4 linked regions of the Rhinolophus ferrumequinum genome follow. The protein of the gene in region 1 purifies or fractionates together with the protein of each later gene. This does not show direct contact. Links are inferred from orthologs where the notes say so. Each region holds a gene or a part of one and is shown in the gene's direction. Other genes may lie near its edges.

The links.
Region 2: the proteins of RHOC (region 1) and RAP1GDS1 purify together in Homo sapiens (co-immunoprecipitation; 3 studies listed by BioGRID and IntAct, counting the BioPlex papers as one, with this or other methods). This does not show direct contact. The link is inferred for Rhinolophus ferrumequinum from reciprocal best matches to the Homo sapiens genes RHOC and RAP1GDS1.
Region 3: the proteins of RHOC (region 1) and DAAM1 purify together in Homo sapiens (affinity purification with mass spectrometry; 3 studies listed by BioGRID and IntAct, counting the BioPlex papers as one, with this or other methods). This does not show direct contact. The link is inferred for Rhinolophus ferrumequinum from reciprocal best matches to the Homo sapiens genes RHOC and DAAM1.
Region 4: the proteins of RHOC (region 1) and ARHGDIA purify together in Homo sapiens (affinity purification with mass spectrometry; 4 studies listed by BioGRID and IntAct, with this or other methods). This does not show direct contact. The link is inferred for Rhinolophus ferrumequinum from reciprocal best matches to the Homo sapiens genes RHOC and ARHGDIA.

What each region holds. Positions count from the first base shown.
Region 1 is NC_046305.1:43,950,948-43,958,320, reverse strand, and holds the start of RHOC (rho-related GTP-binding protein RhoC), read left to right. Parts: upstream 1-4,357; 5' UTR 4,358-4,599; intron 4,600-7,373. Other genes in the region: PPM1J (protein phosphatase 1J), read left to right, coding at 77-161, 702-820, 1,021-1,084, 1,245-1,352, 1,469-1,620, 1,749-1,896. UniProt on the Homo sapiens protein: Regulates a signal transduction pathway linking plasma membrane receptors to the assembly of focal adhesions and actin stress fibers.
Region 2 is NC_046288.1:50,129,154-50,136,609, forward strand, and holds the start of RAP1GDS1 (rap1 GTPase-GDP dissociation stimulator 1), read left to right. Parts: upstream 1-4,546; 5' UTR 4,547-4,601; coding exon of another isoform or gene 4,602-4,648; coding exon 4,649-4,652; intron 4,653-7,456. Other genes in the region: myosin heavy chain IB, read right to left, coding at 3,988-4,546, 4,602-4,650. UniProt on the Homo sapiens protein: Acts as a GEF (guanine nucleotide exchange factor) for the Rho family of small GTP-binding proteins (G proteins) that stimulates the dissociation of GDP to enable subsequent binding of GTP.
Region 3 is NC_046289.1:35,264,320-35,271,937, reverse strand, and holds the start of DAAM1 (disheveled-associated activator of morphogenesis 1), read left to right. Parts: upstream 1-4,601; 5' UTR 4,602-4,714; intron 4,715-4,884; 5' UTR 4,885-4,945; coding exon 4,946-5,065; intron 5,066-7,618. UniProt on the Homo sapiens protein: Binds to disheveled (Dvl) and Rho, and mediates Wnt-induced Dvl-Rho complex formation. May play a role as a scaffolding protein to recruit Rho-GDP and Rho-GEF, thereby enhancing Rho-GTP formation. Can direct nucleation and elongation of new actin filaments.
Region 4 is NC_046304.1:54,657,734-54,665,413, reverse strand, and holds the start of ARHGDIA (rho GDP-dissociation inhibitor 1), read left to right. Parts: upstream 1-4,680; 5' UTR 4,681-4,802; intron 4,803-6,234; 5' UTR 6,235-6,261; coding exon 6,262-6,451; intron 6,452-6,594; coding exon 6,595-6,678; intron 6,679-6,910; coding exon 6,911-6,987; intron 6,988-7,073; coding exon 7,074-7,137; intron 7,138-7,246; coding exon 7,247-7,446; 3' UTR 7,447-7,680. UniProt on the Homo sapiens protein: Controls Rho proteins homeostasis. Regulates the GDP/GTP exchange reaction of the Rho proteins by inhibiting the dissociation of GDP from them, and the subsequent binding of GTP to them.

The sequences.
Region 1 (7,373 bases):
CCATTCTGGCCCTTCTGGAATTCTCCACGAGCGATCTGAGGAGAGTCAAAGCCAAATCTTTTCTTTCTCTGGGCAGAGCTATCATTGTCCGGAATGGTGAAATCATTCCAATGTCTCGGGAATTCACCCCGGAGACTGAGCGCCAACGTCTTCAGCTGCTCGTAAGTAGGAACCAAACGTCCTACCCCTGTTCTTTGTTGAGTTTTGTGTCTGTTTGTGCCCTATGTCCAGGGACTCCCTCCCAACACACAGACAGACAGCTCCTTACTGGGAGGAGTACAGGGCTGAGCTGGTGGAGGACGCAGCAGGAAGGAGTAGGGGCCGCTCAGGTGCTCCCTCTAGGCCCCGGCTGAGGAAGGAAGTGGAGTCATTGGTGGGGAGGGAATGGCAAAGGCCCGAGAGGGGTTTACAGTTTTAAGCACTGGCTCTGGAGCTAGACTGTCTGTAATTGTATCCTGATTCGAGTGCTTTGCTAATTGTGTGACTTTGGACAATTCCCTTAACTTGCGTCAGTACTTCCTGCCTTAAGAGGGTTGTTGTGAGCAGTAAATGAGTTAATATAGGCTAATATTAGACAGTGCACCCCACCTTGTAAACTCCATTTAAGGGTCTGCTCCAAGTAAGATCATTTATACACCAGGGTGTGCTGTAAGCCTCATGGCCCCTGGCCCTCTGCTCTGTCTGGCCACTCCCAACCCCAGGGCTTCATGAAACCGGAGCTACTGGGGGGTGAATTCACCCACCTCGAGTTCCCTCGAAGAGTTCAGCCCAAGGAGCTGGGTCAGAGGATGCTGTACCGGGACCAGACCATGACCGGCTGGTAACACTTCCCTCAGAGCTGGGTCCATTCCCATAGTAACGCAAGCAGTCCCTCACCAGCAGCAAGGGGGAAGCTGGAGGCTGGGCCGGGCTGGGAGTTTGGGGGATGTGGCTCTTAGGGGTTTGTGTGAGGGGTGTGGCTCCTAGGGGAGAGGGCCTTTGATGCCTGGGTCATGCCTCCTCTACTCCCCCCCTCCCCAGGGCCTACAAAAAGATCGAGCTGGAGGATCTCAGGTTTCCTCTGGTCTGTGGGGAGGGCAAAAAGGTAAACTCCATGATAGAGGTGGGAGAGGGCCGGAGGACCCATCACAAGTTGTCTAGGGAGGTGGAGGTTCTACCTGAGGGCAGGGCAGGGGTGGGAGGGTCCACTGTTTCAGAGAGTCTGGGAGAGGGCTATAGCAGCATCCCTGCCTCATTTCCTTTAGGCTCGAATGATGGCCACCATTGGGGTGACCCGGGGCTTAGGAGACCACAACCTCAAGGTCTGCAGTTCCACCCTGCCCATCAAGCCCTTCCTGTCCTGCTTCCCTGAGGTGAGCCATATGGGGACCTCCTTAACCACACTGTACCTCCTCCGGGGGTCTTAGGCTGGCTTTCACCGCCGGTGTCCTCATCCGCAAGCTCCCTCTCCACTCTCTTTTCCCACCAGGTGCGAGTATATGACCTGACACAATATGAGCACTGCCCGGATGACGTGCTGGTCCTGGGAACAGATGGGCTGTGGGATGTCACCAGTGACTGTGAGGTAGCCGCCACTGTGGACAGGGTGCTGTCAGGCTATGAGCCCAATGACCCCAACAGGTAGGGGGTGAATGACAGTGAAGGGATGACAGTGGGGAAGGAACGGGTAAAGGGAAGCAATGAGGGCCTGTGTATGTATCTTCCCATGTACATGCTGGTACGTGAATGTGCTCCTGTGCTTCTGGCAGGTACACAGCTCTGGCCCAAGCTCTAGTCCTGGGGGCCCGGGGCGCTCCCCGGGACCGTGGCTGGCGTCTCCCCAACAACAAGCTGGGTTCCGGGGATGACATCTCGGTCTTCATCATCCCCCTGGGAGGGCCAGGTAGTTACTCCTGAGAGGCTCAGCCCCGACCCTCCCGCCGCCATCCCAGCCTCTCCATGCTTACGCCCCACCCGCCCAAGTTCTGAAGTTGTCTCCCTGACCTTCTTTAAGTGGCGGTTTAACTGAAGAAGGGGTATCAGTTAGATCCAAAATTATAGCTATTGGCAAATAAACCAGATGGATTAAAAAATGTGTGTCTTTAATTACTTTGACTGGAAACCGAAAGGTTACGATAAGCTCTTTGGGGTGGTGGAACGTACACCAGACAAGTCCTGAAATTGTCGTGTTCCCAGGTTCTTTCTCCTGCCCTCTGCTCTTCCTGCTCTTCCACACAGCCTCATTTGTCCAAGTCAGTACTTCCAGCCCAGACCTCTCCTGAGCTTTAGAGCAGGGGTGTCCAAACTTTTTTCAACGTTTTTCACCAAGGGCCCTATGCGGTAAAATACACAAACAGCCGGGCCACTCACTCGAGGTGAAGTACGTATTGCCTCACCTGGTTTATTTAAGTAAACTAAATATATTTTTGGAATTTGCTGCAGGCCAATTAAAAATGGATTGCGGGCCGCAGTTTGGACACCCCTGCTTTAGACCCACATATCCCATCTATCTCCTCGGCATTCGGCAGACACTTTACTGAACACACCTCAAGGCGAATTCATCATTTCCTCAACAGACATGTACCTCTGGTTCGTCATCTCTGGGCACCAGCTCAGCTGTTCAAGGTAGAAAGCTTGGAGTTGGTCACCTTTGGCTTCCGTCTATTCCTCATCAAGCTAATCAATCACTTAGTATGGTTGATTATATAAAAATGTATTTAATATTTCTCCACTTATCTCCACCGTGTCACTACCTTAGTACCTCAGTTCTTGACTGCATTAGCCTCCTAATTCATCTCCGAACTCTGTCTCCAGGCCACTCTCCCATTTCCCCCAATATACTTGGGACATAACAGAGTGACCTTTCCGCCGTGTGAATCTCAGTTGGTTATTTCCCTGAGAGAACGTTTCAGTGGCTCCTCACTGCACCGAGACTCAAATCAACACTCAACTCAAGTGTGGCATAGAAGATTCTTCATGATCTGGCCACTACTTCTTCCTCCCGCCCTCTAAGGCTGGGTATTCCACAGCCCAGGCATGCCCCCACTATAACGACTGCCTCCTGTATTATGACTGTCTGTATTAGGAGTCGGTATGGAGTCACAGTTAAGAGCAGGGGTTCTAGAGTCCTGCTGTTTGGATTCTGGTGCCAGATCCAATATCAGCTCTGTAACCTCTCTGAGCCTCAAGTTGCTTCTCAGTAAGATGGAGATAACAGTACTACCTCATAAGGTTCTTGTAAGGACTCATGTAGTTCACATGTGTAGAGCCAGGCCCATATAATAAGGGTTCAATAACTGTTAGCTATCTTTAAGTAGTCTATATTCTGAATTTATTGATCTGAACTGAGCACATAGCTCTCAGTTCACACTCCATAAATGTTGATTGAGCAGGTTAAGAGGCCTGGGGACCAAAGTGCTCTGGACCTGGGTTTCTTCGTTATTCAAATGTGTGGGTTGCACTTCAGATCGTTCAAGTCTGTAGACTTCATTAAGACATTCATTAAGCAAATATTTGTTGACAGCCTACTATGTGCCACTCACTGTGCTGGCCAGCAGGAAGGGACAGGTTGGAGCAGAGGGGACAGCAGGGACAGAGCCCAGCTTGGGGGCCAGACAGGCCCCAGTGTCTGAATTCTTGTTCTGTCACATACATATTGCAAAAATTGGGGCTAGCCACTTCTCTGAGCCTCAGGTTTTTACAGGCACCAGGGGATTGGTATACTTTACCCGAAGATCTGTGATGAGTAGAAAAAGGGCGGAGCTGTGTAGTTACGGAGCACAAGCTAATAAAATGTGAGTAGCCGTCCTCAAGCAACATCTGCTTCCTCAGACGGTACCTTACGAGGAAGGAGATAACACGTGTAAGTAAATACCTCGTGTGTCAAGTCAGACGGGGCTCAGTGCCCTTAGCGGCACAGAAATAACTATTCGGATGAAAACTGAATTCCCAGCTGGGCATCTGGATTTCCGCGAGTGCCCTTTGAGGGGTAGGTAGGAATTGAACTCATGGAAATTCCAGGCCTGGGGAAGGAAGGGAATTGTGAAGTATAGGACATTGGCCCGGGTCGCAACGATTCTCATAAGTTCTCAAGGCTGGGGGATGATGTGGGCTGTACTGACGCTGCAACGATTCTAGGAACAGAAGGTGGGTCTCCTTCGCAGCCCCCAACTTGGGCGTCCCGGAGGCCGCCCTATACCCAGTCCCGCCTCCCGGGAGGTCCCAGGTAATGTAGGGACAGGTGGCTGGGTGGCCACGGGAGGGCAGCAGCGGCCCTTTCTCGACCCCACCCCGAGCTCCTCTCAACTTTCCCGACGCCGGTCCGCCCCTAGGGGCTGGGAGGCGGGGCAGAGGGAGAGTCCTCAGGGATCTGCCTCGCCCCTCCGCCCACTCCGCCCCAATCCAGGCATCTTCTCCGACCCCGGGGGCCGGCGCCCTGGATCCCCTAGCCAGCGGCGGGGGTGACCACTGGGTGACCAGAGCCCGAGCTGTGGGCGGGCGGAGCCTCCCGCTCCGGGCCCGCCCCTCCCCGCCGCGGCGCTAGAGGAGGGCGGGGCGGGGCGCCGGGGTCAGTCTGTGCCTCCGGCTCCCGCAGCGCAGCTGAAAGCGGCCACACGGAAGGTACCCAGGGCCGGGGGCTGGGGTTGGCGGGGAGTCCCGGGAGCTGGTCCCCGGGAGAGTACTCTGCCCCTCTCCGCTTGGCCGGAGCGCGGGGCGCCGGCTGGCTAGGGGGCTTTGGCCAGAGCGCCGGCCGCCTTCTCTCGTCTAGGACGCGGCATCTGGGCTGTGCGGGGGTCCGGCCGGCTCAGCCTCTTCCTGGGCTGTAGCTGGGCCCCGGGAACTGCCCCACCGGGGCTCTAGCCTCCTGGTGTCCAAGCCAGAGTCCCTTCTCTTCTGGAACCTGCCCGCCTGGGAGAGGGGACAACTTGGGTCTCCGGGAGGGAGTCTCCGCCCAGACCTGGCAACTCCCAGGCCGGGCGGCCAGCGGTGGACCTGGGGTGGAGTGTGGGTCCAGGCCAAGGCCCGGTGGAAGTGATGTTACCCCCAGTCCCGGCCGTGAGGATGGCCAGGATAGGGGCGGGGTGGACACCGCCCTAGACGGTTCCTGGAGCCTGCCTTGGGTGGAGGTAGGGGAGATTAGGAAGGATCCAGCTCGTGTGTGTGTGTGTGTGTGTGTGTGTCTGTGTGTAAGTGTGTAAGGATCTCCTCCCTTCCAGCCCTCTCCCTCACACTCCATAACCTGTCTAAAGATTAAAGATTATCCTGGAGGTTTGGTCTGGGAGACCCGAGGCCGAGTCCTGCCCTCTGCTCTCACTTCCCGTGTTCAAGTTGAGAAGGAGGAATCTGATTCTTTCTCTACACCTCAGGGTGGTCGGCAGGGAACAGCTGGCCCCCGGGTCATCTGGAAATCCATAGAATGACTGAGGAGAGGGTGGCGGATGTCATTCTTGTCTCAGGGAAGGCCCCGGGAGTTCCAGGCTCCATTCCAGGCCATGTGCGGGGTTTGGTTGCCCCTCTTGGGGTCAGTGGGGCAGTTCCTCTGGGGCTGCTTCTCTCAGGGAGCTGCTATCCTTGCCACCTTGGCCTTGGGCCTAAGTGCGCTGGCCTGGGCCAACCAGAGTTTGAAGGGAAAGTCTTCTAATTGAGCTGGGGGCTCCAGGTCACTTAATGCATGCCCTTGACCCTGAGTTCTGGCCTGCGCCTCCCACTGTCTAGTGCCACCCAAACTGCTTTGCTGGGGGAGGACAGTTGCGTTCTCAGGCTTGAGCAATTGATCATTGCCCTCCATCGACACTGCCCATCTCACATTGGGGCTATCCCACTGTTTTCACACAGCTGGACCAATGGAACGAGGGAGGAGTTGGTCACCTGGGTAGAACTTCTAAGGAACCCCTTTTGGGAAGGATGGTTTCCATTTTTGGAGGGGATCAGCTGGCATGGTGAATGCCTTCTTGCCTGTCTTTTAGGGTGTCAGGGAGAGCCCTTTTTGAGGTAGGGAGAGTGTGACCGTGTACTCTCAACTCCTATAAATTCTCTCTGACTCACATCCACTTCCCCTCATCCCAGAAAGAGAGAGCGAGAGAGAGAGCGAGAGAGAGAAAGTGCTGAGGAGGGAAACCACTCAGGACCCCACTGTTGAAGAGAACTAGACTTGGGCTGGAATATTCACTTCCTAAAGGGCAGACAGAGCCAGGGGTGTGAGATAGTTGGTGGTGGTATGTGGGAAGTAAAGGCGTTCAACATAGTTTGACAGGATGTGGGACGCAGAGAAAAAGGCAGGTTTTGGGCAGAGATCAGGTTACCCTCTCCTTTCTGAACTACTCCCTGCCTGGTTGGTGCTGGGACTGGCCCTCATTCGTCTTCTTTTTGGGGGCTCCTCCCAACAGCCTCGACTTTACGTCAGCCTTGGAACCCGCCCCTGTCTTCCTCCAGGCGTGGAGCCTGGGCACTTGAGCCGGCCGGAGGTCAGCCCCTGTCCCCAGGGGAGGAGGACACGAGGCTCAGCTCCGCAGGGAATCTGGGAGCTGATGAACTTGTGTCGATGTTTATTAGTGTGGAGGACGTGGAAACCCCAGGAAGCTGACTCCTTGCCCTGAGTCACTGGGAGGGGTGGCCAGGGCCTTGGGTGAACTGGACAAAGGGGAGGAGGGGCTGCTCCAGGGAGTGGGTGGAGGTGACTCCCTGGTGGATTATTCTCACTCGCTCTGCTGTGGTGGATGTGCTGCTCCCTACAGTGTGGTCATTGTCCCCTGCCTGGGGCTGAGTGACCCAGTGTTGCTGCCAGGCCCAGGAGGAAGGGGGGAGGAAGGCAGGCTGCCCGAATGTGGGCTGTGGGCACTTCGGGACTGAGCCTCCTTTGTATGACTTGGGGCTTTGGGAACCGGGATGGGGTGGGCCAGGGAAACCACCTGGCTGCTGCCACTTCTGTCTTGATTTCCCTGCCTCTGTTCTTTCTACCTCTGGGGTGACATGTGGAAAAGGCAACAGACTCTATAGTCACACAGCCCTGCTCTGAGTGCCGTCCCTGCCACGACTCTGCTGAATGTCTCAGCCTCACTTTCCTAGTTTGTCAAAACAGGAAGCTCTCCCATCTCCCTTCCAGGCCTTTGGGGACTGAGGGAGGTAAGTTTTGTTAAAATGCCAGCAGTTTCCCTTATCCACCTACCGCCTGGGAGCTTGTTCTGTTGGCCTGTGATTTTAAAGAGGGGCTCATTTGTGACTGGCACAGGCATGACTTGTGCGGAGGGACAGTGTGTTCTAGATCGGACCTTAGCGATTATTAAATTTTGAAAGTACCAAAACCCTGGCAACAAATGAAGTCTGACTTGAAACCCTGATATGTATAGCAGATAAAGGCTGGCTCTTCTGGACATGTCCCTGAGAACCCTTCTAAG
Region 2 (7,456 bases), on another chromosome or scaffold:
ACATTAGTCAGTTTGACGTAATACGACTGTAAAAGAAATTTATATTTCATAAGATTTGGGAAATGGTTAATATATTAAGTAAATGAGAAGTGACGGGAGAGGGTTACAGTTACAACATTTCAGGGATTAATACATTTCAATTGTTCAGCCTGGATTACCCTAATCTCACTGAGGCTTTTTAAAAATAAAGTGTTTAGGCAGAAAACTATTCACTGCCAAATCAGTTTTTATCACTGCAAAGTTCAGTTAACTACTCCAGTGAGAGTCCCTTAAATGATATTCAGAGCATCATGGTGAAGGCAATCAATTCCCTATTTTCTTTGAAGAAACTCTCTTTTTACTTCCTTTAGCTCTGCCCCTACCATTTCCTTTAAATAGTTTAAATCACCTTTTAACCTCTGTTAGAAGTTATGTTATAAGGGAATGAGGTTATGAGGGAAGATATGTTATAAACATTGCCAAAATGTAGTGCTTCTGATCCTTTCTAATAAACATTTTCCTTGATACTCCCCATACTACCAAACGCTATTGAATAATTACAAACCAATTTTCAACAATAAATTGATATTCAGATAAATCTGTGATACTTTACGAATATGGATTTTTAGATAGAATTTGAAAATGTCTGCATTGGGCCAGAATGCCCTCCTTTATTTTGTAGCAAGTCTAATCAAATTGTGACCATTGCCTAACATGGAGCATGGGCACTAATCGATTTATTTCTGGAAAACTCTTTTGATATCAGGTGAATATTTCCTAGCTATTTATATGATCAATGACGAGAGTTATCATCAAAGAAAATTTTCTAACATAAGCTTTTTGAGAACAGACCATAGTTTTTTATCCCAAGTTCCCATCATAGAGCCTCATACATACTAAGCACTCAATACATCTCTATGGAGTACATGGGTGCATAAATTAGTACAAAGACTATATTCCACCCAGTGAAGGACTTGTTGTTTAAGACGGAAACAACACAGCAGCTGTCATCATCATCATGATCGTCATCCATATAAACCTTTACTGAATAAGTTTACTTGGTGAAATGCTAGAGTTTACAAAAAGAATATTAACAATAGTCTTGCTCTTTCAGAATAAAAACTCTAAAAGAAAGAATAAAAAGACTTTCATTCACACGACAAATTTTTATTGACCACTTGTTATGTGTTAGCATTCTTCTGGCCTTGGCAATATAATGGCAAATAAGGCAGACAAAAATTTCTGTCCTTGGGGAGCTCAAATTAAAATTGGGGTGACAGGCAATAAGCAAAATAAACCTTAATGATAAGTGCGAAGGAAAAAATAAAGTATGGAAATGGGCATAAGAAGTAGGAGAGAGTACTGAAATTTTAGGTAAAATGGCTAAGGAAGGCCTCATGCAGGTAACTTTTGAACAAAAACGTGAAGTAAAGGTATGAGAAAAATGTTATATTCCTAAAATAGAAAGGGAGGGGAACTAACGTTATGTGTGAAAGGGGTAAGCATTCCACCAGTCCACTTCTGCATGTAGCAGGCAGTACTGCAGTGCCTCCTTAGCCGAGGTTTCACTTTCCTAGGCTTCCGTTAACCGTGGGCAACAAGAGTACAAAAATATTATATGGGGAATTCCAGAAATAAACAATTCATGTTTTAAGTTATGCGCTACTCTGATTAGTGTGATGAATTCTCATGCCATCCTGTCCAGGATGTAAATCTTCTCTGTCCGGCATATCCACTCCCCAACAGTTAGTTACTTAGCCATCTCAGTTATTAGATTGGTTATGAGAGAGAGAGAGAGAGAGAGAGAGAGAGAGAGAGAGAGAGAGACACTACATTCACATCACTTTCATTCCAGTATTGTTATATTTGTCCTATTTACTATTGTTAACCTCTTGCTGTGCCTAATTTATAAACTGTATCATAGGCATGTATGTACAGATGTATGGGAAAAACATAGGACATATTGGGTTCAGTGGTATCTGTGGTTTCAGGCATCCACTGGGGGCTTGGAATGTAGTCAGTGTGGATAAGGGAGGCGACCGTATTGGGTCTCACCATGGTTACACATCAGTGTTGGGACTGACTCATTGTGTGCAATGTGCCTGAACAATCCTGTGGTTTAAATTGGTAAAAGGGCTGAGGGGATGGCTTGTGGCTTCAAGCAAAACAAAAAGGCACTCAAACTAGCATCCGGTGGGAGGTCACAAAGCTGCATCAACTATTTTTGCTGCTAGTTTCAATTTATATATCCAAACGAAAGACAGAAGATGCTCTTAGACATTATTGTAATTAAATTATTGTAGTTAATTACAAAAAGAAGCAGCAGGAAAAGTGAAACAAGTGAACTAGAGAATCTGGAAGAGATTAATGAAGGTCAAGGAAAGACCAAGGTACAAAAAATGAGCAATACAAATGCGCCAGGGTGGTCTTCTGGAGAGGTCCAAAATGAATGTGGAACATGGTATGGGTGTGTGTCGGGGGACAAAGGGGGGTGGAGGCTGGAGCTTGCATTGGTGTATGTTATGGATTGAATCGTGTCCCCCGCAAATTCGTATGTTGAGGTCCTAACCTCCAGTATCTCGAAATATGACCGTTTTGGAAATAGGGTCATTGCAGATATAATTAAAGATGAGGTCATACTTGAGTAGTTGGGACCCTAATCGGATTGGTGATGTCCTTATGAATGGAAAATTGAAGGCTGGAGTTATGCTACAAGTCAAGGACGTACCAGAAGCTAGGAAGAAATCCTTCCTTGGTGCCTTCAAGAGTGAGCATGGCCCTGCCACCACTTTGATTTCAGACATCTGGCCTCTAGAACTGAGAGAACCCGTTCCTCTTGTTCTAAGCCACCCAGTTTTTGGTACTTTGTTACACCAGCTGGAAACTAATTCAACCTTGTAAGATTACTTTGAGGCAAACAGAAAGATCATCCTAAAAATCACAGCAAGGGAAGGAGTGTAACACAAGAGTGAGGTGCCTCATTGTCTTGTGCATCAGAAGTTTTATAGCTGTGCCTTCTGCACTTACATTGTATTTTGTTTCACTAAACCTCTCTTTTTAACGGTTTCATTTTTGTTTTAGAAAAGTCACATAAAATCTGCTCTCTGCTGAACAAATTACAAGGCCCATTCTGACTTCTGTGCTTGCAGGAACTTCTGTCATACAAACGGAAATTTGATCTGATCTAAGAAGGGGCCACCGATGAAAGGAGTAAAATGCACCTTTTCTCAACATTGGATTGAAAGAGTAAAATTTGAAAGGGGGAAAGAAACCTCCATTCAGCTATTCAGCATCTCCCTCCCACAGATTATGCTGCTGACTGCTCCCCTCTTCCTGGCGACCTGACTCCTCAACTCCAAAAACAGACGGGTCAGGGCAAGACCAGGTGCGGAGAAAGGGAAGAGTCCCTGCAGCCTCCTCTCCCAGGGCAGAAACCGAAAACCGGCCCGCACCTGGCGCGCATGCCCAGCCGGGAGAAGCCCTCAAGAGAGAGCGCCCGGCCCCGGTTCCCGGCGCACCTGGGAGGTGCCGGGAGCCATCCGCGGCCCAGGTGACCGATCCAGCCAGCCCCGCCGGGCCGCAGCCAACGCAGCCGGACTTTTCTCTTCCTGCCGCGTTCCTAGGGAGCGGGGCGGAGCTGGGTGCAGCCCGAAGGCGAGGGCACCCCCTGTTAAATGGCTTCTCAGGCGTCCTCCGGGGGATGAGGAATGGAAGCCCGCCCTCTTGAGGAAGGAGAGAGACATATTCCCGGAGGAAATCCTGGGCGGTCACTCTCCTCGGCTGTCCGGAACTCTCTGTTTCTAAACGAGCCACAGCCAGGACCGCCTGGAGCCGTCCCACTGATAAGCCCGCTAACCTGCAACGCCCTCCCAGCGGCCACCTCCCCGCTCGCTGCCCCGCGGGCCCACCGGCTGCTCGGCACACGGGCGTCCCCAGGTACCCAGCCCCTGGCCACGTCGCTCTACGTCCATCCCGCTTCGTTTCAGGACGTCCGCTTGGTTTCCTCACCGTCCTGCCCTGACTGAGGCGGCCCAGCGTCTCCTCCTTCGGGCACCTCCCGCCTGTGCAGCCGGGGAGCCCCGTTTGCCGGGTGTGGGGGTGGCGGGGGCCCCGTAGCAAGCCTGGGGCGAGCCGGACGGCAGCAGCTCGGGCTCAGTACCCCAGCGCGAGGCCTGCTCGCGGCCCACCCCCCGCCCCCCAGGCGGTCGCCACCAAGGTCCTCCGCGGCGGCGGCTGCAGCGGGTCCGCAGACACACGCCCACCCGCACGCCGAGATTCCCTCGCCACGGGGAGAAAAGGAGGGCGGCACTGAGCATGCTCGCTGGGGAGGGCGGGGCGCTCCGGGCCGCGCGTCGGGGCGGGCGGTCTCCAGGCCGCCCCGGCGCCTCCGCCGCCCGCCCGCCCGCCCGCTCCGAGCCGCGCCCGCCGCAGGCTGCGCCCGCCGCCCCGCCCCGCCCCGCCCCGCCCCCCGCCGCTCGTCCCCGCCGCGGCCGCGCCGCCTGCAGCAGCAGCAGCCCCAGCAGCAGCAGCTGCTCCTCCCCGGCGGCCACCCCCCGCGGGTCCTTCCCTGGCAGCGGGCGAGAGCGAGGCAGAGGGAGGACACAGCGCCGCGACGCCTGCACCGGAGACCTTCGCCTCGCCCTGCTGGCTCCTCACCCTCGGGAGGAACATGGGTAAGTCACCCTTCCTCCCCCGTCATCGCCTGACATTTTCCTCTTTCTCGGCGTGTTGCAGGGTGGGAAGCGTTCTCGGCGCAAAGTTGCCGGATTTCTCAGATCCCCGGGTGTGAACCGGCGGCTCTGCCTCGGGGGAGTCAGGGCGCGAGGAACGCTCGCCGGGTCCGCGGCCGGGAGGGTCCCGAGCGTGGGGTGGGGTCGGGCCGCGGGGCCGGACCGCCGCGCCGCTCGCGGGCACCGCGCCGCCGCGCCTCCCCTCCTCCATTCTTCCTGCCCGAGCCGGTGCCGGGGCACCGCGGAGCCTGCCTCGCGGGCTCGCATCCTCTGCCCACCCGCCGTTCTCCCGAGGCCGCCTGCCGCCTTTCCCCAGCGTCTGCGGGGCTGCAGGCTCGGGGTCGACCCCGAGAAAGACCACTTCACGTAACTTCCCTGGCTGGGCGACCTTTTCCCCATCGTGGGGACGGCGCATCCCGAGGCGGGGAAGTGGGAGCAAGTAGTTTGTGAGGGCGATTTTACTACCTGCACGGAAATTATTTTCGATGAGCGAGAGCGGACAGCCTCATAGGTTGAAAGGATGACTTGTCAGAGGCCACGAGGAATGTAGGAAGGATGGATAGAGCCACTAGCTGTTGAATTACTGTTGGGTGACTACAGTGTGCAGGATTCCTGTACTCAACCCGTGTACGGGGTTCCCTCGCCTGTCTACTGTAGCAGACAACTGCACCGTGTGACATGTTACCGAACTTATATTAGTTATCCGTTCCCAGCGTCCCCTGCCTAAATCTACATAATCTGATTTGGGTTCTTTTGTATTTACGTAGTTAATCCCAAGAGGTTGGTTTGAATGAGATATTGAAATGCAAATGTAGTTTTGTAAAACTACATATCATTTATCCTAACCGTTTTTCATATGTTGTGGGACTGTTAAGTTCAGTAATTACAAAAACGTCTGATGAATTCTGTAATGTAATTAAAAGCCAAAGATTTTTTTGTTGTTGTTTTTAATAGTAGCTATTTGGAATAACATACTTCTGTGTGTTCCCCAGTTTGTTTCACTCCTTCCTGTGGTATAATTTCCTCTTTTTAAAATGTGCTCCGTTGTCATCTGTCAACTCGGACTTTTCCCACCCCTTCTGTGCAAGTTATTTTAAGCTTGAAATGAGTGTGATCCTTTCATCTGTCCCCAGTGTTCAGCATGTCCAGAGTTAGGTCATGGCAACTCAGAATCTACAAGGAAGTTATCTAAATCTAGAAATGGTGTCGTGAGAGCCTACTTGAAAAGCAAATTCTTCAAGGTCTGATTTAGACCTTTGACCATATATCTGGAAGAAGCCAGTGTTGGAGGAAGAGGTGGTGTGAATGAAAAATGAATTTAGGGCCTTGAATTTCATTTTCAGTTGTTCAGTTTTTTCCCTTTTAATGTACTATTGATATGCTGAACAAACACTTGTAAAAACAGAGAGGCCCATTTATATGTACCTAGCCTTTCTCTGGGAGTAGAATTTTAAGTAAATATTAAGATTATTGGACACATTGTATCTTTTTCTTGAACATAAAAAATTTTCTTCTTAATTATATACCACAAGAGTGGTCTGTAAAATACATCTTCCAATGTTTTCTTTCAAGGTGAACTTTAAAAAAATCTATTTAACTAAAATTTTAACTAACATGTCAAATCAGTACCTTTTCAATGGAAAAACTCCCAATTCTTCAATATTAGTGAATAAAAATACTTGAAACGAAATTATTTACTCAAAAATAATTAATCCTGGAAATCTGGAATGTTATTGCTTGATTTTTTTTTTAAAAAAAAAAAGCCAAATAGAAATCCATCTCTTATTTGAAGCTTCTCAGAAACTCTTTAATTAAATTCGTCTCTCCTCATAGCACTCTGTCTGTACCTTGTTGGAAGCTTTTTAGAACTTACATAATCTGCTTTATAATGGAACTGTTTATGTGTGTCTGTTGTGCATTTAATAGTGAGTTCTAGAAGATGAAAATTATGTCTTACTAATTTTTGTGTCCCCAACAGTGCTTTCCACATAGTAGGTATTAAGGAAATTTTTGGTGAATTAACTGTTGAATTTAAAACCCATCTATTATTTTTAACTTGTGAACCTGAAAGTATGGTCTCTGAAAAACATTTGGGTTGGTAGATGTTATTGGAGGTGTGGAGAAAGTGGGAATAGAGATGTATAATTATACTACAACTGCTCCTCTCTGAAAAAAACAACAAAAAAAGTTGGGTTGTCTGAGAGGTATGGGTTTGGGGGCAGCCTCCAGCAAGCCATTTCCTTCTACAAGGTTGTTTTCAACGGTAAGGTGATTTAGTGTGTCATCAGTAGGTACGTGCAATAATGTAAAATTTAAACCGTGGAAAGCCGTTTTATATTCTGAGCCAAGGAAGTTATTATAATAATTCATGTACATGTAAGAGGTAGAAGGTATACTGATTAATGCTAGGGGGGAAAACACTTTTTTATCTGTCTTTTCAAGAAGTAAATAAGGCAACTTTTAAAAAAATATATTCTCATGGCAGTAATTTTTCTACATAAGAACTGAAGGAAACTTCCTATATAATTTTATGAACTATGCTATTATTTTATGTATGTATTTTATTATAAACTCAACATGTACTTAATATTTATTGAATGTCAATCATGTGCAGTGTATTGTGGGAGGACAAAGGTATATAAGACATTTAATTTCAAGTTGCTTATAATATTAACAGGAAGAGTATGACATACACAGATAATTATAGTAGAAATAAAGTATAAATGATATTTAAAAATAGCCTTTAC
Region 3 (7,618 bases), on another chromosome or scaffold:
TTGGGGTGGCTGCCAAGTTCACAACACTGTTTCCTCTCTGGGAAGACTCCCACACAGGGAGAGATCCTGAGTGATCATATCTGAGCCATACGATCTTGTAATCTTTGCTGCAGATGAGTGGTTTCAAAAAATTTTATGTGTCAGAATCAGCTGGAGGACTTGTTAAAACACAGACTGTGGAACCCAGCCCTAAAGTTTCTTTTCCTGTAGGTCTATGGGTGGGGCTTAAGCATTTGCATTTCTAACAAGTTCTCAGGTGATACGGAGGCTACTGGGGTCCCCCGTTTAAGAACCACGGCATATGAAGATGATTAAGTTAGAGAAAGTCACTCTAAGACAGGGCAATCAGCTTCTGTCAAAAATTTGTTTAAATTTAGTTTTCAATCACAGTTGACATACAATATTATGTTAGTGTCAGGTGTACAACATAGTGATTAGATATTTATATACTTCACGAAGTGATCACCCTGATAAGTCTAGTACCCATCTCACACCATACAGAGAGACAGAGACACCGAGATGGAGGACTATTAGAGTAATGAGCTAGCTAAAAGGTTCAAAACCCACCACTGTTTAGGTTCTGAGAGCTGGTCTGGTACCTGTTCTTAGATGGAGCCTTGGTTGCTCAATCCTTTGAATAAATCCTACTTCTTTCTTTCCTTCCTTCCTTCCTTCCTTCCTTCCTTCCTTCCTTCCTTCCTTCCTTCCTTCCTTCCTTCCTTCCTTCCTTTGCATAAACTGGCCATAGAAAGTTTGTGTTGCCTGCCCACAAAATAACTTGAACTAAGACGTAAGTGTATCAGTTATATGTTCCACCATGAAAACGAAAACCATTCTGAGTATTTAAAACAGATATGATATAGTATAGGGAATTGGTCTCATGGGTGATAGAAGGTCTGAGAAGACAAACATGCAGTGAGAGATTGGCAACAGCAGGAAGCTACCTCCACCCTTAGGCTGGAGGGAAAAAGGGAGAAGGTGGTGTTAACAAAGGCTGGGGTGATCCAAAAGATGCTGGAATCACGACAGACCAGTCCAACAGAGGAAATACTGCTGATGCTGCCAGAAACATCACCCAGTGCAACTCTGAGGAGGTGGAGAAATAACCTGGCTTCTCCCTCCTTCCAGCCTCCAATCTCCCAGCAGAACTCTCCATGCTGAGAAGCTTGGAGAAGACAGCCTATGATGCTGAAGACAGCTTGGGGCACTGCGGAAGGACAAGGTGTAAATCTGAAAACAAGCCAAGAACCAGCACTGTTCAATTTGGATTTCTCAGTCGTTTCTTCAAAGTACATTTTGCCTACTTACAAATTAGTGAGATAATATGTGCGTGCCGTATAATTTCTCATAGTTTCTTGTTAAGAATAAGATTTTTTAAATTCAAATAGGTCTTTATTAACTTCTTCCATAATTAGGGGTGACATTTCTGAGATAATCTTTAGGGAAAAATTGCAAATGATAACAAGAATTAGCATTTGTATACTACCTTTCAATGTGAAATGTGTTTTTACAAGTATAATTTAATCCTCAAAATCCTCATGAAATAGGTTTTATTATTAACCCCATTTTTAAAATAAGGAAACTGAGGCTCAGAGAGAATGAGCAGTCACATTGCTCAAAAGTGGTAAAATGGCATGACCCCAAACCTGGTCTCAAGCATATAACCTCAATTGTTGCAAAACACCAAGTTATTGTGTGAAAACACATGCCAGGCTACAAACATAAAATTCTTTCTTTGTTGATGTCTCATTTCTTCCCTTATCTAAAACCCAACAGCTAGAGTAAAACCTTGTAATCAGAACTGAGAGATTATTTTGAAAGATCAGCAAAATACTCCATGGTGCCTTTCCCCTTCTCTACCTGCAGGTCAACTAAATCTGTTCTCAGTGGTCCCACAGGTTCCTAATTAATAGGCAGTGATTATGGGACAAGACGAGGCCTTTCGTATAAGCTCATTTGAGGATAGCAGCAGTCATTTAAAAAGAAAAGAAGAAAAATCCTAAAGAAATCCTTTGAGAATATTATAGATTAAGCTAGACAGATCGGTATTTTTGATAGCTTATGAGACTACTTAGTCACCTAGAAAGAACTAAATACAAACACACAACATAAGTGTGTGAGTGTGTGTGTGTGTGTGTGTGTGTGTGTGTGTGTGAAAGAGAGAGAGAGAGAGAGAGAGAGAGAGAGAGAACGAGAGAGAGAGATCCCTTCTGTCTCCACAGAAATTAAGCTTCTTCTGGATCCAGACTGCATTTCTGATGCTGAAGAGCCATCTTTGTTTCCCCTGGTTACCAGTGAAACAGTGTGCAGGGATCTGTTCAAATCCATCACACTTATAGCAAAATGCTTCCAAACATAATGCCTTGCCTTCAATATCTATTATCTATATTTATATATCTATTTAATAGGGAGGAAGCTCACACATGCACATCCACACATTCCTGTGCTTCTACTCTATTGTGTATGATGTCCTTTATAGATGGAAATGAGCTATGTAACATGACATATCCCTATAATATTAATTGCTACAGAGATTAGATTTTTTTTTTAAAGGCAGATGCCATCCTCTCCTTTGTTGCTGAAGACCCAAGAGAACTTGCCGTAAGCTGATTTGTCCTGTAAAGTTAGTCCTCAGAGTGTGCCTCAATAATATGCTTTTATCTGTAAGGACGAGCCCTGCTTTATGGAGAATCTCCACACCCAATTTGCCTCAATAAATTTCAGGCTCACTGATTATATTCCCATCTAAAGCTTTACACAGTTATAAAACTAGGAGAGCTTTTAGAATCATCCCAGGTCAAGTTACTTTCTGAATATTTTCCCACAATGAACTGCAATACATTAAGCTTACCCATTAGCTAGAATATCACTGATTGTACTCTTGATCTGACGGCCAATGGAACATTTGTGTTGTCTGGGTTCTGTTTAAGATAATATTTGGAATGGATGGGATAGCTCAGAACAGGAGAGCAACGTTCAAAGTTATCTTCTTTCAGTGGGGAAAAATGTGTCTAGTATATGAGGAATGAGCTTGTTAAATGAAAATCAGAATTCAACACTAAAACACCTCTCTCAGCAGAACAAAGCATTTTCGTCTCCCCTGAGATCCTCAACTAGTTCCATGAATATTTTTCTCTTGAACCCAAGATATTGTTCCACAATGAGATGAGAAAATAAGAGTGATAAGAAAAACTTCCACCAACAATTAGATGGAGAGTTCTTTAAAATTTTTAATTGTGAACTTTCTTTTCACAAGATGTAGTCTTCCAGAGATTTGCTAATAGAAATAGGGGTGTGAGCTGATCCTTCTACGTGATTGCAACATCAAATGCCATTATAATGTACTCTATCTTTGCCACTGGAATAATTATGTAGATGCATTGATTTTTTTTCATTTAAAAAAACAGCTTAAGATTTGCTCTGAATGATCATTTTTTCATAATATTTGGTATTCATTGAACAATGAAAAATGCCACGGAAACATTTTATTATTATTATTATTATTATTTAATATTATTGTATTAAAAATGAAATCTTCCTGAAGGTTCAGAATTCTGATACACACTTTTTGCTTACCTTTAAACATTTAGGTGTATTAAGATCATGGCAATTCTTGAATAGCACGCTGTTGTTTGGTTTAGGTCATTTAAAAAATATTTGAAGAGAAAGCTATGGGAAATGAGGCGAGAGTGTTAGGGATTTAGCAGTACATGTGTACGTATATATGTCATTAAAACTTTAGGAAAAGATGTCTTCCTGGGAGTTGAGAGCCATCAGAGCGGGAAGTCCACTGCAGGAAAGAACAAAAGCATGGCTGCGCTACAGTATTATCTCTGCAGCGGCAGAAGCAGCAGCAGCAGCAGCAGGCTCCCTGAGGGAGGGCTGCGGCGATTGTCTTGTCTATTCTGCATTTTTATTAGTGACAGCCTCCGTTATTCTGTCAGCTCAGCCAACTAAGCTGTTCCCCGCGAACTCCGTTAAATGGCAGAAGGAAAGAGAACACAGAAAGGTGAATTGTACGAAGTGGGACACGCGGGGATTTCTCTCCTGCGGGGTCGGCTTCGCCTCATCCTCTGGGGCTTGGGGGAATTCCAGGACCGCATTTAACCCAGAAACCCGTGCGTCCTATTAATTAGTTTACGCGTAGGGAAGACAGTGAGAGACTTAATCGTCTCTTTTCAGCTGAGGCCAACAGAGCAGGGTTGGTCAGAGGTGCCTGGCCGGTGCGCACTAGCCCCGGACGCTTCGGGGCCCTCAGAGCTCTCACAGGGACGAGTGGAGGTCAAGTCAAATAGCACCACGGCAGGGTTCCCCCAGTCTCTAGCCCGCGCAGCCCGCAGCCTAGCTTCTGCACCGCCACCGCTAACACTGCAAGGCTGCAAGGAGGGGAGGGCCGGGGTGTCCCGGCGGAGGCGGGACTAGGGGCGGGGACGAAGATGCCGAGGAATGCGTCGGGAATTGTAGTTGTGCTAACCTCGGTAGCGTGGCTATCCAGGCTCTGCTTGCGGTATTGGGACTACAACTACCAGGAGTCCATGGGCCAGGCTGGGGAGTCCATGCGCACTGGGCGCTACATTGTATCCTATCAGCGGAGGAGAGGGTGATGTCACCTGCGAGTTGGTAACCTACGAGCGGCTGTGAAGGAAACTGTTTAACCGGGTCCCATTGTACCCAGAGCGCAGAGCCGCCTTTCCAGCATGCAGGGGTTGCTCAGGTAAGGGGGATGCGCCGCCTCGCCCGCCGCACTCATTCATTAAGTGGCACCAAGCGGTGGAGCGGGGGTGGGCGCGCTTCTTCGGGCCGGGCTCTGGGTTTGCGGCGCGCCCTCCCGCTGCTTCCCTGGAGCTCCCGGGCCAGTAGGTAAATATTAAACCCGTCCTTCAGGTTAGGTCTGGGTGCGAACAGGACCTAGACAGCTCCGGGCTGCCAAGCTGGATTTGGAAAAATGGCTGCAAGCACGGCGCAAAGCACTGCGAGCCCGGAGGAAGGCGCCCCAGAGGATGAGGGTCCCTCCCTCCTTTCTTTCAGAGGCGCTCGGATGCCAAGAGAGCAGGCAGGGTACCAGGTACAGCCGTCTTGCTGCAGGCACCCCGGGGATGGGGCGCTGGGGGTCGTGGCCTCGGCTGCGGGTTGCGTGCATTGCTGCTGTCGGGAGCTGCTGGCAGAGGAGGAATCCTGAGGCAGGCTTGGTGGATTCGGAGGTGGCGACCAGGAAGGAGGGACTCTGAGCCGAACGTCCACCATCCCTGACACCCTCACTTCACGCTTCATTCGAAAGGGGTGGGGTGACTGTAATTCAGGCAAAGTTGTAAGCTGGAGGTTTCAAAAGGGGCAGGAGGGGAAACCCGCGTTGCAGAAGGAGCAAGGGGTGTTGGCGCACAGCGGCGAGGGGAGGCTGCGCCTCCTGCGGACCGGGTTCGAGGAGCCTCAGAGCTCTTTTGCCCCCAGTCCCTCCGGGGAGGGCGCATCTTGGTCCCCCCTGCACTGATTGCTCCCTCGACAAAGAGCACCTGAGCTGAGGCGAAGCGTCTGCCCGGAGCCCTGGGTTGGGAGGTGGTAAAGCGGTGGGGTGTCAAATAATCTAATGATAAGGCTCGCTTGTGGGGCAGGCAGCCTGGGTAATCGGGTTTTCCCAGCTGATGCGGAAAATCCAGCTTCTTGTGATCCACTTGCCCTCCGATTGGAGACGTGCACGAGGCCCGAGAACTCTATAAAGCCCTCTGGATTGCCTTCCCCTGCCCCTCTTGTTCGCTCGCCTACTCATTCATCAAACCCTGCTAATGGCTCTGCTCTCAAGTTGCTCACAGCCTGGGTTTGGGGTGTTCTGCCTCTTGCCCTCATAAAATATTTTAGTGGGCCCAGGAATAGCTACCTACATTCCCTTTCTCCCAACCCCGCCCTCTTGATTCCCATCTCCACCCCCAGGTGAGCATCAACAGTAAATGCCTCCCGTGACAGTTTTGCTCCCATTAAGCTGGTAGTTTCTTGAGGCTCGAGAAGGACTTAGTGAATTGAAGCGGAGTTTGCCTGCAAGATGAATCCCGTTGCCATGGCGACTCCTGCCGTCGGAATCTTAACTGCTCTCACTGCTGTTTCAATTCGATGTGGCTCTGCTGGCAGCTGGGAGGGCGTGGCCTGTGGGTGTGGTCAAGTGCTTGCTTTGGGCCCAGCTGCTTTCTCCTCTGCGTCCCTTTCACAGCCCGGGGGCTCTGTCCATTCTCTTGTAAATATCTTGGACACAATTCTTCGCTCCTTTCTCTCTGGAGTTCCCATACCTGGTCTCTCCAGCTCCCTTCCCAGATATAATTATTGGGCGCCTTTTTCCTGAGGGAAACTCTGAAAATTACAATTGAAAGGTATCTTTCCCCTTTCAGGCTAGCTGCATCATTTTCCTAGTAACATGTATTATAGTGTTGGAAGCAGCTTTCTCAAGGAGGGAGCTCTCCTGCTTGAAGACAAATCTCTGGCCACCAGTAAAGATCCTCAATCTGCCATAGGTGCAACTCACTGAAGTCTTTAGGGACAATAACTGAAATTGAATTCTGGAAGTCACTGCCATCCCTTGTGGTTCTGATAAAATCTAAAAGGCTAGCCCTACACTGGCTCTGTCATCACTGGCTATTCCACTGTTAGGTTAACCCTTTACCTCTGGGGACCTTGGTCATTGGTAAAGTGGGGAGAGTGTACAGAGAGTTTCCTAAAGTTGATTCTAGGTATAAAATCTTGTGACTCTAAGAAGGACTTGGTCATTGTCTTTTATTTTTCTCAAAGAAATCTGAACACTAGAGTTTAAACCCAGCTTCGGACACCGAGCCTTACTGTACGGAAAAATAATGTGGCTCTTCATGGCAGTCCTGCAAAGTGGGCAAGGTAGCCATGTTACTATTTGTAATATTATCTCTAATACTCCTGCTATTAACCCAGGATCTGGACTGTTATTTATCCTTTTATCTTAGAATTGTTTAGGTTTTGCCTTTTTACAGATTCTTGATGAATGCAGTTATTTGTGATGTAATTGCATTAAGTATAATTAAATTTCACAAATATTTTGTTTTTCTTCTGCTCTCATTTCATACTAAGGTTGATTATCACAGATAGTGCCATTAAGGTGTGTGTGTGTGTGTGTATCTGTGAGCATCTCTCTATGTGTGCAGGTAAATAAATGCTGCAGATGCTGTGTGCCAAGTGGTTGACAGTCCTCATCTCTAAGAAGCAGGTGGTTACATCCCCATGAGGAAGTGGTATTAGAAGTTGTCACTCACTCTTTTTTTGGGGGAGGGTGGGTTCTGAGAAGTCTGCATTTATTATAGGTCTGGATCCAGAATCACTCTTTATTTTTGTCCTAGAGCTTATCATTAACTGAAAAAACAATCTCATTTAATTACCTGTTTACTTCCTGTCTCCCTATAATTCTGACGCCAATTCCAATGTATGGGTTTTTCCCCCACTCCCCTAAGATCTTTGAGAGCAGTGTCTTTGTCTTGTCTATCTCTATCTCTCCAGTATTTAAAGCAGTTTTTGGTCCCGTAGGTATTTAATAAATATTTGTTGAATCAATATAAAGTAGTAGAGCCATGATTGGAGATCCAAGAGCTGTATTATTGCCACTGGTTGTTCT
Region 4 (7,680 bases), on another chromosome or scaffold:
TTCTGTGTCGGGCCATGGAGTCCCGGGGTCGTGCTGGTGCCCAAAATGTGAGTCCCTTTCTCTCTTCCACCCGCTTCACTGTTAGTTGTGTCATTTGTACCATACTGAGTTCATCCTTACCGGTTATATTTCATGGTGGCTTCCCCAACATACCCTGCTGGGGTTTTTTGTTGTTATTTTTTATTGTTTTTTAATTTGCATATATTAGTTATTATGGAATTACATATGGTTGTGTAATTTTCATAAATGTTTATATGATTTACATTAATTAACTGTTATTATTAATGAGTCACCCTGGGATTAACTGACTATTTGGGTGAAATTAGCAATAAAAAATGCATCATTAAAGATTTTAATGTAAAAATAAAACCAGGAGGTAATCTCATTAATTTTCAATATATCAATGTGTCTGTGGTCACCTACCCTAGACAGTTAGTTTGTATGTTACGTATGCAGGTTGTAGAAACAAATTATAAAATGTTTTAGCACATTCATTAATTGTAAAATAACATCTATATGTAAAAATTAATTTGAGCATCCCACTTTCTTAGATGTACAATCCATCATAAACAAGCCACTCAAGTCACCAGCAGTTATTTCAGAGACAACCTTTCTTTGTCCTCGTTGAGGGGTTGAGGGTGGGGACTCCTTGGGCACGAAATGATTCATTCTGAAAATTGGCAAATGAAAGGAACAAACATATAATCTGTTTTGTTTTCTATACAAACTGTATTTCGAAGGGATTAAATCATTGATGGGGAGAGCTTTTTAAAAAAGAATTCCAGCTAAGCAGTGCTGGCATATTAGGAAATGAGCACTTTGCGATGCCTGATGAAATACGCCTGCTGAGAATAATGCTGAGGGTGGCACAGCAGGCCAACCTGCCATCCGGAGCTCATGGCACCTCTGAAAATTGACCTGGGGCTTGTCCAGCCTGAGACGTAGGACAGCACACCGGGAGGGCGGAGGCAGGCCAGTAATCCGGAAGTGCCAGTAAGGGAAGTCTCAACCACAGGTGTCCCAGTTTCCTCCGCACCTGAGGGCACAAGCACAGAAAACTGACTGTGGCACAATCAAGGTAGATTGGGCCTTTGTCCCCATTCCTAGCCCAGAGTTCCAGCCCTCGGAATGTCCTGACAGGAGTGGCTTTTGTTATTTGTAACCAGTCCCTTTCAACCACAAGCAGTTTATGGTAATGAGATGATGACTCTGGGTGGTGTCAAGATGGATGCTGGTCACCAGAAAGACTAGGCATCATTAGAGGGTTGGCACTCTCAACCTGGTCCCCTGACCTCTCAGAGGGGACAGAGCTGTAGGTTGAGTTAATCACCAACGACGATTTCATCAGTCTTGCCTCTTAATGAAGCCTCCATGAAAGCCCCTAAACAGTGGGGTTTGAAGAGGTTCCAGGTGGTGAACAGGGGTAAGTGCTGGGAGGGTGGAGCTCCCCGGAGTCCCCCCCCCACGCACCCCTACCCTGCGCATTTCTTGCTGGTCCTGAGTTGCGTCCTTTATAATAAACCGGCGATCACAGGTGAAGAGCTTTTCTGAGTTCTGTGAATTGTTCTAGCGCATTTTTTAACTTAAGGGGGTGATCGTGGGGACCCTCAAATTTGTTTATCCAAAAAAAAGAATCCTTTTCCTTAGGAATAAACACACACTGAAATCCACATGGTGGAAACCACGTGTGAGATTTGCTTCAAGCTGTGTGTGGGGAGGAAGAGGGACAGGTCAAACGGGACTGGCTGCCAGGGAAAGCCACTGAAGCCACGTGGAAGGTCCATCAGGGTTCATGACACCACGCTTTCTACTTTGGTGTGCGGTGGGCCACCTCCTGGCACTCACACCTTGCAGTCCCATACTTCGCTGGGCCAGGACAGATCTGCGTGCCAGTATAGTAGGGCAGAGTGATGGCATGACACTTCTGAGATGACATCGTAAGAAACGCAGCGGCTTCATCTGACTGCTTGCTGCCCCCTTCTCTGTTCTGTCTGCCTCTGCCTGTCCATCTGTCTGTCTCTGAGGCCTCACTTGGAGGAAGCCACCTGCCCTGTGTGATCAGCTCTACGGAGGGGCCGGGACGGGAGCTATAGGTCGCAGGGAACTAAATCCTCAGGCCATCAGCCCACGGGTGTGGAACTGAGGGCCCAAGCACGTGCGTGAACTTGGAATTCCAGCAGGTCTTGGAGACCGTGGCCCTCCTGCACAACAGCTTCATCACAGCCTCCTGAGAGACCTGGAGCCAGAACCATGAACCGCACTGCTACGCTGCTTCCCGATCCTCAGAAACCATGGGAAATAATAAGGGTTGGGTGTTTTGAGCTGCTAAATTCCAGGCTATATTTTACACAGCAAGAGATTACTAATACACATATGTTTAAATTTTCTATAACAGAGTTTGGGTTTTCTTTTCAAGGTACATGGGTCATCTGAAAGCAGATTTGTCCTCGAGCCATGACTCAGGTGGCTGTGCAGCGGGACGGTCCCCAGTAAGTTGCCTCAGAAGCAACACACTGAACACCAATTAGGATGCTCTGCCTTTGGCCAAACTTTCTGCCTATAAAGTTGATAGTGCAACTTTCAGTTACAGAAAAATTGCAAATACACCTCAAAAAGGGAGAGAGATCTTTCCAAAACATACTGAGCTCAGTATTACGCATTGTTCTATCACCCCAAATGCCCTCCTGCAAACGGTGCAGAGGTGTGTGTGCGATGACTTCTGTCAGCCTGGGTTCCCTGCCAGGCAGTGTAGACCAGACAGAAGGGCCCTACCGTCCTGGAGTTGAACCATCATTGAAGGAGGCATGAGTCCATTGTCACGTGATTACAATTTTACAAGTGCCGGGGGGTGAAGGTGGGGTGGCACACCCCCCAGGTGGGGCATTTAGGGGTTTGGACCCCACACGGAGGAGTGCCGGGCGAGGCTTTGGGTACTGCAGGCTCTGCGAAACAGCCCACATTTTATGGGGCCCCTGGTGCTACAGAATGTTGTTTGGTGTGTGGACCAAGGTCTGAAATCCATACAACTAGAGCACACAAATGGAGACACTGGGGTCTGTGGTAAAGAGCCGACTGAAGTAACTGTGTCATCTGTGCCAGCAGCTTCCGAAGTCATGAGAGGCGAGGAGTTCCTCAGTGACCAGCTCCCCTGAAGTATTGCTCACAAGGTAGCCAAGTGTGCTGGGCCCAAAAATACTCCTTCAGTCTGGAGGGGAACATACAGGCACAGGACAGTGGCCAGACCCCTCTCCAGGAGGGCAGTGCTGGGCCCAAGCGTGCCCTGGACACTGAACCTTGTTCATCGCAGGGGATGGCAGGGCAGAGGGTCACGTGCACAGCCTTGGACAGGCTGCGAAGTGAGGAGTGAGTGAAGAAAAGATGACTCAAAATGGAGTTCCTATAGTCAAGCCAACAAAACTGGTTCAGTGCAAATGGGCTGAGCGTGAGGAATGGGTTTTATTTCACCAGCCTGAGTGAGCACTTCAACTGTGGAACTTCCCAGTTGTGCGTGGATGCCTGGAAATACGTATATATCCTACAGCCAGCCTCTGAAGGGCTTGGAAAAGTGTTCCCAGGTCCGAACCACCGACATCTGGAAGATTGTAATCTCAGGCCAATCCAGCACCACTAGAATGCTTGACGGATTTTTTTTTTTTTTTTTTAAAGATTTTATTGGGGAAGGGGAACGGCCTTTATTATTGGGGAACAGTGTGCACTTTTTTTCCCCAAGTCAAGTTGTTATCCTTTCAGTCTTAGTTGTGGAGGGCGCAGCTCAGCTCCAGGTCCAGTTGCTAGTTGCAGGGGGCGCAGCCCACCATCCCTTGGGGGACTCGAGGAGTTGAACTGGCAACCCTGTGGTTGAGAGCCCACTGGCCCATGTGGGAATCAAACCGGCAGCCTTCGGAGTTTGGAGCACGGAGCTCCAACCGCCTGAGCCACTGGGCCCGCCCTGGACCGATTCTTACAGCCTGCTTTTTCCTATGAGAACTCTTAGCTTTTCTTCTTCTGAACCCTCTGGGTATTGCCTGGGTTTCCGCTTTGCAAACCCTTGGCCAGGTGAAATCAATTTTTACCTTTTATTTCTAGCCAAAGCCTCCCAACTGTCTGTGCTGGGTGCACAAGACACCAGGAGATGCCCACCCCCGGGACTTGGACAGGACGGGAACCCACAGAGCGTCCTGTGAGTGGTTGGTGTGAACTCGACGGAACATCCAGTGTTCACTTCCAGGAGGGTGAGGCAATGGCGAGGACCGACGGGCTGGCTCACTTGGGAGAGCGGCCGGAGCGGACCCCGGGTGTAGCGACCACCGGGCTGTGAGACCAGGCCAGCGCTGGCTGCCAGAGCAGGGCCCGCTGGGCCCGGACGTGGGCTGCGCGCCTGCAGAGGGACAGTCCCGCGCGTTACAGATGGCGGCAGAAACGCACGACGTCCAGGTGGGGTCCACGCAAGACGGTGACACTGCCCCGTCCCCGTCTGAGTTCGCGGGCTGAGCCGTGGGGACGCCCGAGCTGAAAAATGCCCGCAGCAAGGGGCGCAGAAGCACCAACCAGACCAGCCTTCGCGGGCAAACCGGCCTCGCGAGCCGCCTACGCGGGACGCGCCCACGAGATTGGCCCCGCAAGATGGCGGCCGCGCGCTCCCGGCAGACCCCTCGCCCGCGCATGCGCCCTCCGTCGGCCCGCCCGGCCTGAGCGGAAATCGCGTGACCCCGGAAGTGGCCGGCAGGGCGCGCGCGGGCGGGGCGCCGACGTTCGTCATTTTGTGCGGGAGGGAGCGCGAGCGCGGCGCGGTCGAGCCTCCGGTGAGCGCCAGGGGCGGCGGCGGAGGCGGCGAAAGCGGCGGAGCTGGGAGGGGGCGGGGGCCGAGTCTTTGTCCGCCCCTCCCGCCGGGGGGATCTGCGTGGGGCGGGGGCGGGGGCAACAGTGACAGCGGGCGGCGGCCGGGGCGCAGGGCGGGTCCCCGGGCGCACGGGCGTCCACGTGCGGGCGGGGGGCGCAGGCCTCTTTGTGGCCGCCGTTCGTGCGCGGCGCCCCCTCGCCGGTGCGCGCCGGGTGCACCAGGCCTGACGCCCCTCCCCTGGGGAAGGCGCGCCCTGCCCCCGGCCGTCTCCGAGCTTCCCACCCGACCCCACCCCACCCCACCCCACCCCACCCCACCCCTCGGCCAGCCCTGATTGCGGGTCCTGCGGCCGTGCGGGCGCCGGCAGTGCGCTTGGAGGATCCTGTCGCCTGCGTCCGCACTTGCTGGCGTTAGGGCGTGAGCTTTCTAGAGGAATTCCAGAGGAAGCGCCTGGGAGGCCTGGAGGGACTGGCGGCCCCACCCCGCCTGGGGCGGCCGGCCCGCTCAGAGCGGCCCTTTGTGGGATCTGGTACTCGGGCAGACCCCGGCTGCCAGGCGTTGTTTCTCATCCCGTGGCAACTTGAGGTCCGGGGTCAGCTGGCCCTGACCCACCTCCCACACAACGAGAGGGGTCTGCGGGGGTTTCAGACACACCGTCCGGGATGCTAGGGGGTGCTGTAAGGATCCTTAGCCTCCTGTACTGTTCTGCGCCTGCTCCAACAGTGTTGCTCCAGGCTCTTCTAGCCGTTGCTTCACGAAGAGGGTCTTGAGAATACCCAGGAGCTGCAGCAGCTCCCAACTCTAGGTCACAAACCATCACAGCGGGAGAGAATGTGGGCAAACACTTAAAGTTCCCCATGCGCTTTTGGGACCTACCTGCGGGATTCAGGCTGGGCCAGTTATTTGAGCTCTAGGAGAGCCCTGTGTTTGCAGGGCGAGGCAGAACTGACCTGTGTTGTGGATAGAGGTCTTGCATTCTGGCCAGGACGGGGCCAACGGGTGTCCCTGGTCAGAGCAGCTCCCTGAACCAGCAGGAGGGGTACCTTGGGGTGAGGACCTGGGCACTTCAGAGCAGCAGAACTCTAGGTGACTAAGTCGGGTTCTGCCAGTCCAGGCTGGGGTTGGTGCCACCCCCTGGGGATGCCTAGTCCCTTGAGACGGGCAAGGCAAGTTAGTGAGGCCCCTCTTGGCCCCAGGAGCCTGTGTCTAGGCCCTTTGCAAAGGTCTGGCTGCAGCTGCCCTCCCGCTCCAGAAGTTGCATCACCCCTTGGCTGCAGCTACAGGGTCTGGCCACCTGCAAAGATGCCTTCAACACAGCCCCCTGCTGCCAGGGAGCGGGAGGGGGAGACACTGGGTCCCTGCAGGCTGCCACAGCCCCTTCCGCCCCCCTGCAGGTGTTCCGGACCCAGCTAGAGGTGAGCATGGCAGAGCAGGAGCCCACAGCTGAGCAGCTGGCGCAGATTGCGGCCGAGAACGAGGAGGACGAGCACTCAGTGAACTACAAGCCCCCGGCTCAGAAGAGCATCCAGGAGATCCAGGAGCTGGACAAAGACGACGAGAGCCTGCGCAAGTACAAGGAGGCCCTGCTGGGCCGCGTGGCCGTCTCAGCTGGTGAGTGGCTGGACGGCACTGAGACTGAGGGGACACCTGTGACTCTTCTGAGTTCCCCGTGCGGCTCCCTACCCCAGGCAGGAAGTTGTGTGCTTGAGGTGGGACGCCAAGGGGTGGAGCTCTAACCTGCTGTCACTCCACAGACCCCAATGTCCCCAACGTTGTTGTGACCCGCCTGACCCTGGTGTGTAGCACTGCCCCAGGCCCCCTGGAGCTGGACCTGACAGGTGAGTGGCGCCTCTGAGGTCCCTGGCTGAGGCTGTGTTGGACACCTTGTTGCTTCCTCTAAAAATGGTTTCCTGGAGACCGTGCGCCCTCTCGTGGGGAGCACAGGAAGGGCCGCCCAGTGGTCAAGGCTCTGGCTGTGGGGGGGGGCAGGGGGGATGCAGTCCCAGTGGAGTTGCCCAGGTGCGGCTTCCCCTGGCTGAGCCTCCTAGCGCAGTGTTCTCCTGAACACAGGCGACCTGGAGAGCTTCAAGAAGCAGTCATTTGTGCTGAAGGAGGGAGTGGAATACCGGATAAAGATCTCTTTCCGGGTAAGGTGGGGGCCCTGGGAGGGAGGCGCTGGGGGGGCCGGGGCTGGAGAGCCCAGCTGAGTTCCGCGTGGGGTCCTTCCCGGCAGGTGAACCGGGAGATCGTGTCCGGCATGAAGTACATCCAGCACACATACCGGAAAGGCGTCAAGAGTGAGTGAGGGTGGGCGCCAGGCCCTGGCCCCCAGGAGGGAGGTGGCCCCGGGGCCAGGATCGGGAGGGAGGAGGAAAGGCTCCCTGACGCCGCCTCCCTGCCCTGCAGTTGACAAGACCGACTACATGGTGGGGAGCTACGGGCCCCGGGCGGAGGAGTACGAGTTCCTGACCCCCATGGAGGAGGCGCCCAAGGGCATGCTGGCACGGGGCAGCTACAACATCAAGTCCCGCTTCACAGACGACGACAAAACTGACCACCTGTCCTGGGAGTGGAACCTCACCATCAAAAAGGAGTGGAAGGACTGAGCCCGGCCTGGGAGGCGGGCAGGGCGATGGACGGAGGGATGTATGCGCCCCACCCCACCCCACCCCACCCGACCCCATACCAAAGTGCTGACAGGGCCCCTGCCCACGCTGCCATCTCCCCTGGTTTGCCTCCTGGCCCGCCCGGCCCTCCCCAGCCCACAGGCCCCAGCCTCCCGGTGATCTAGTGTTGTTGCTGCTTCATCCTGTGCTGTGGGGGAGGGAAGCTGCAGCCCA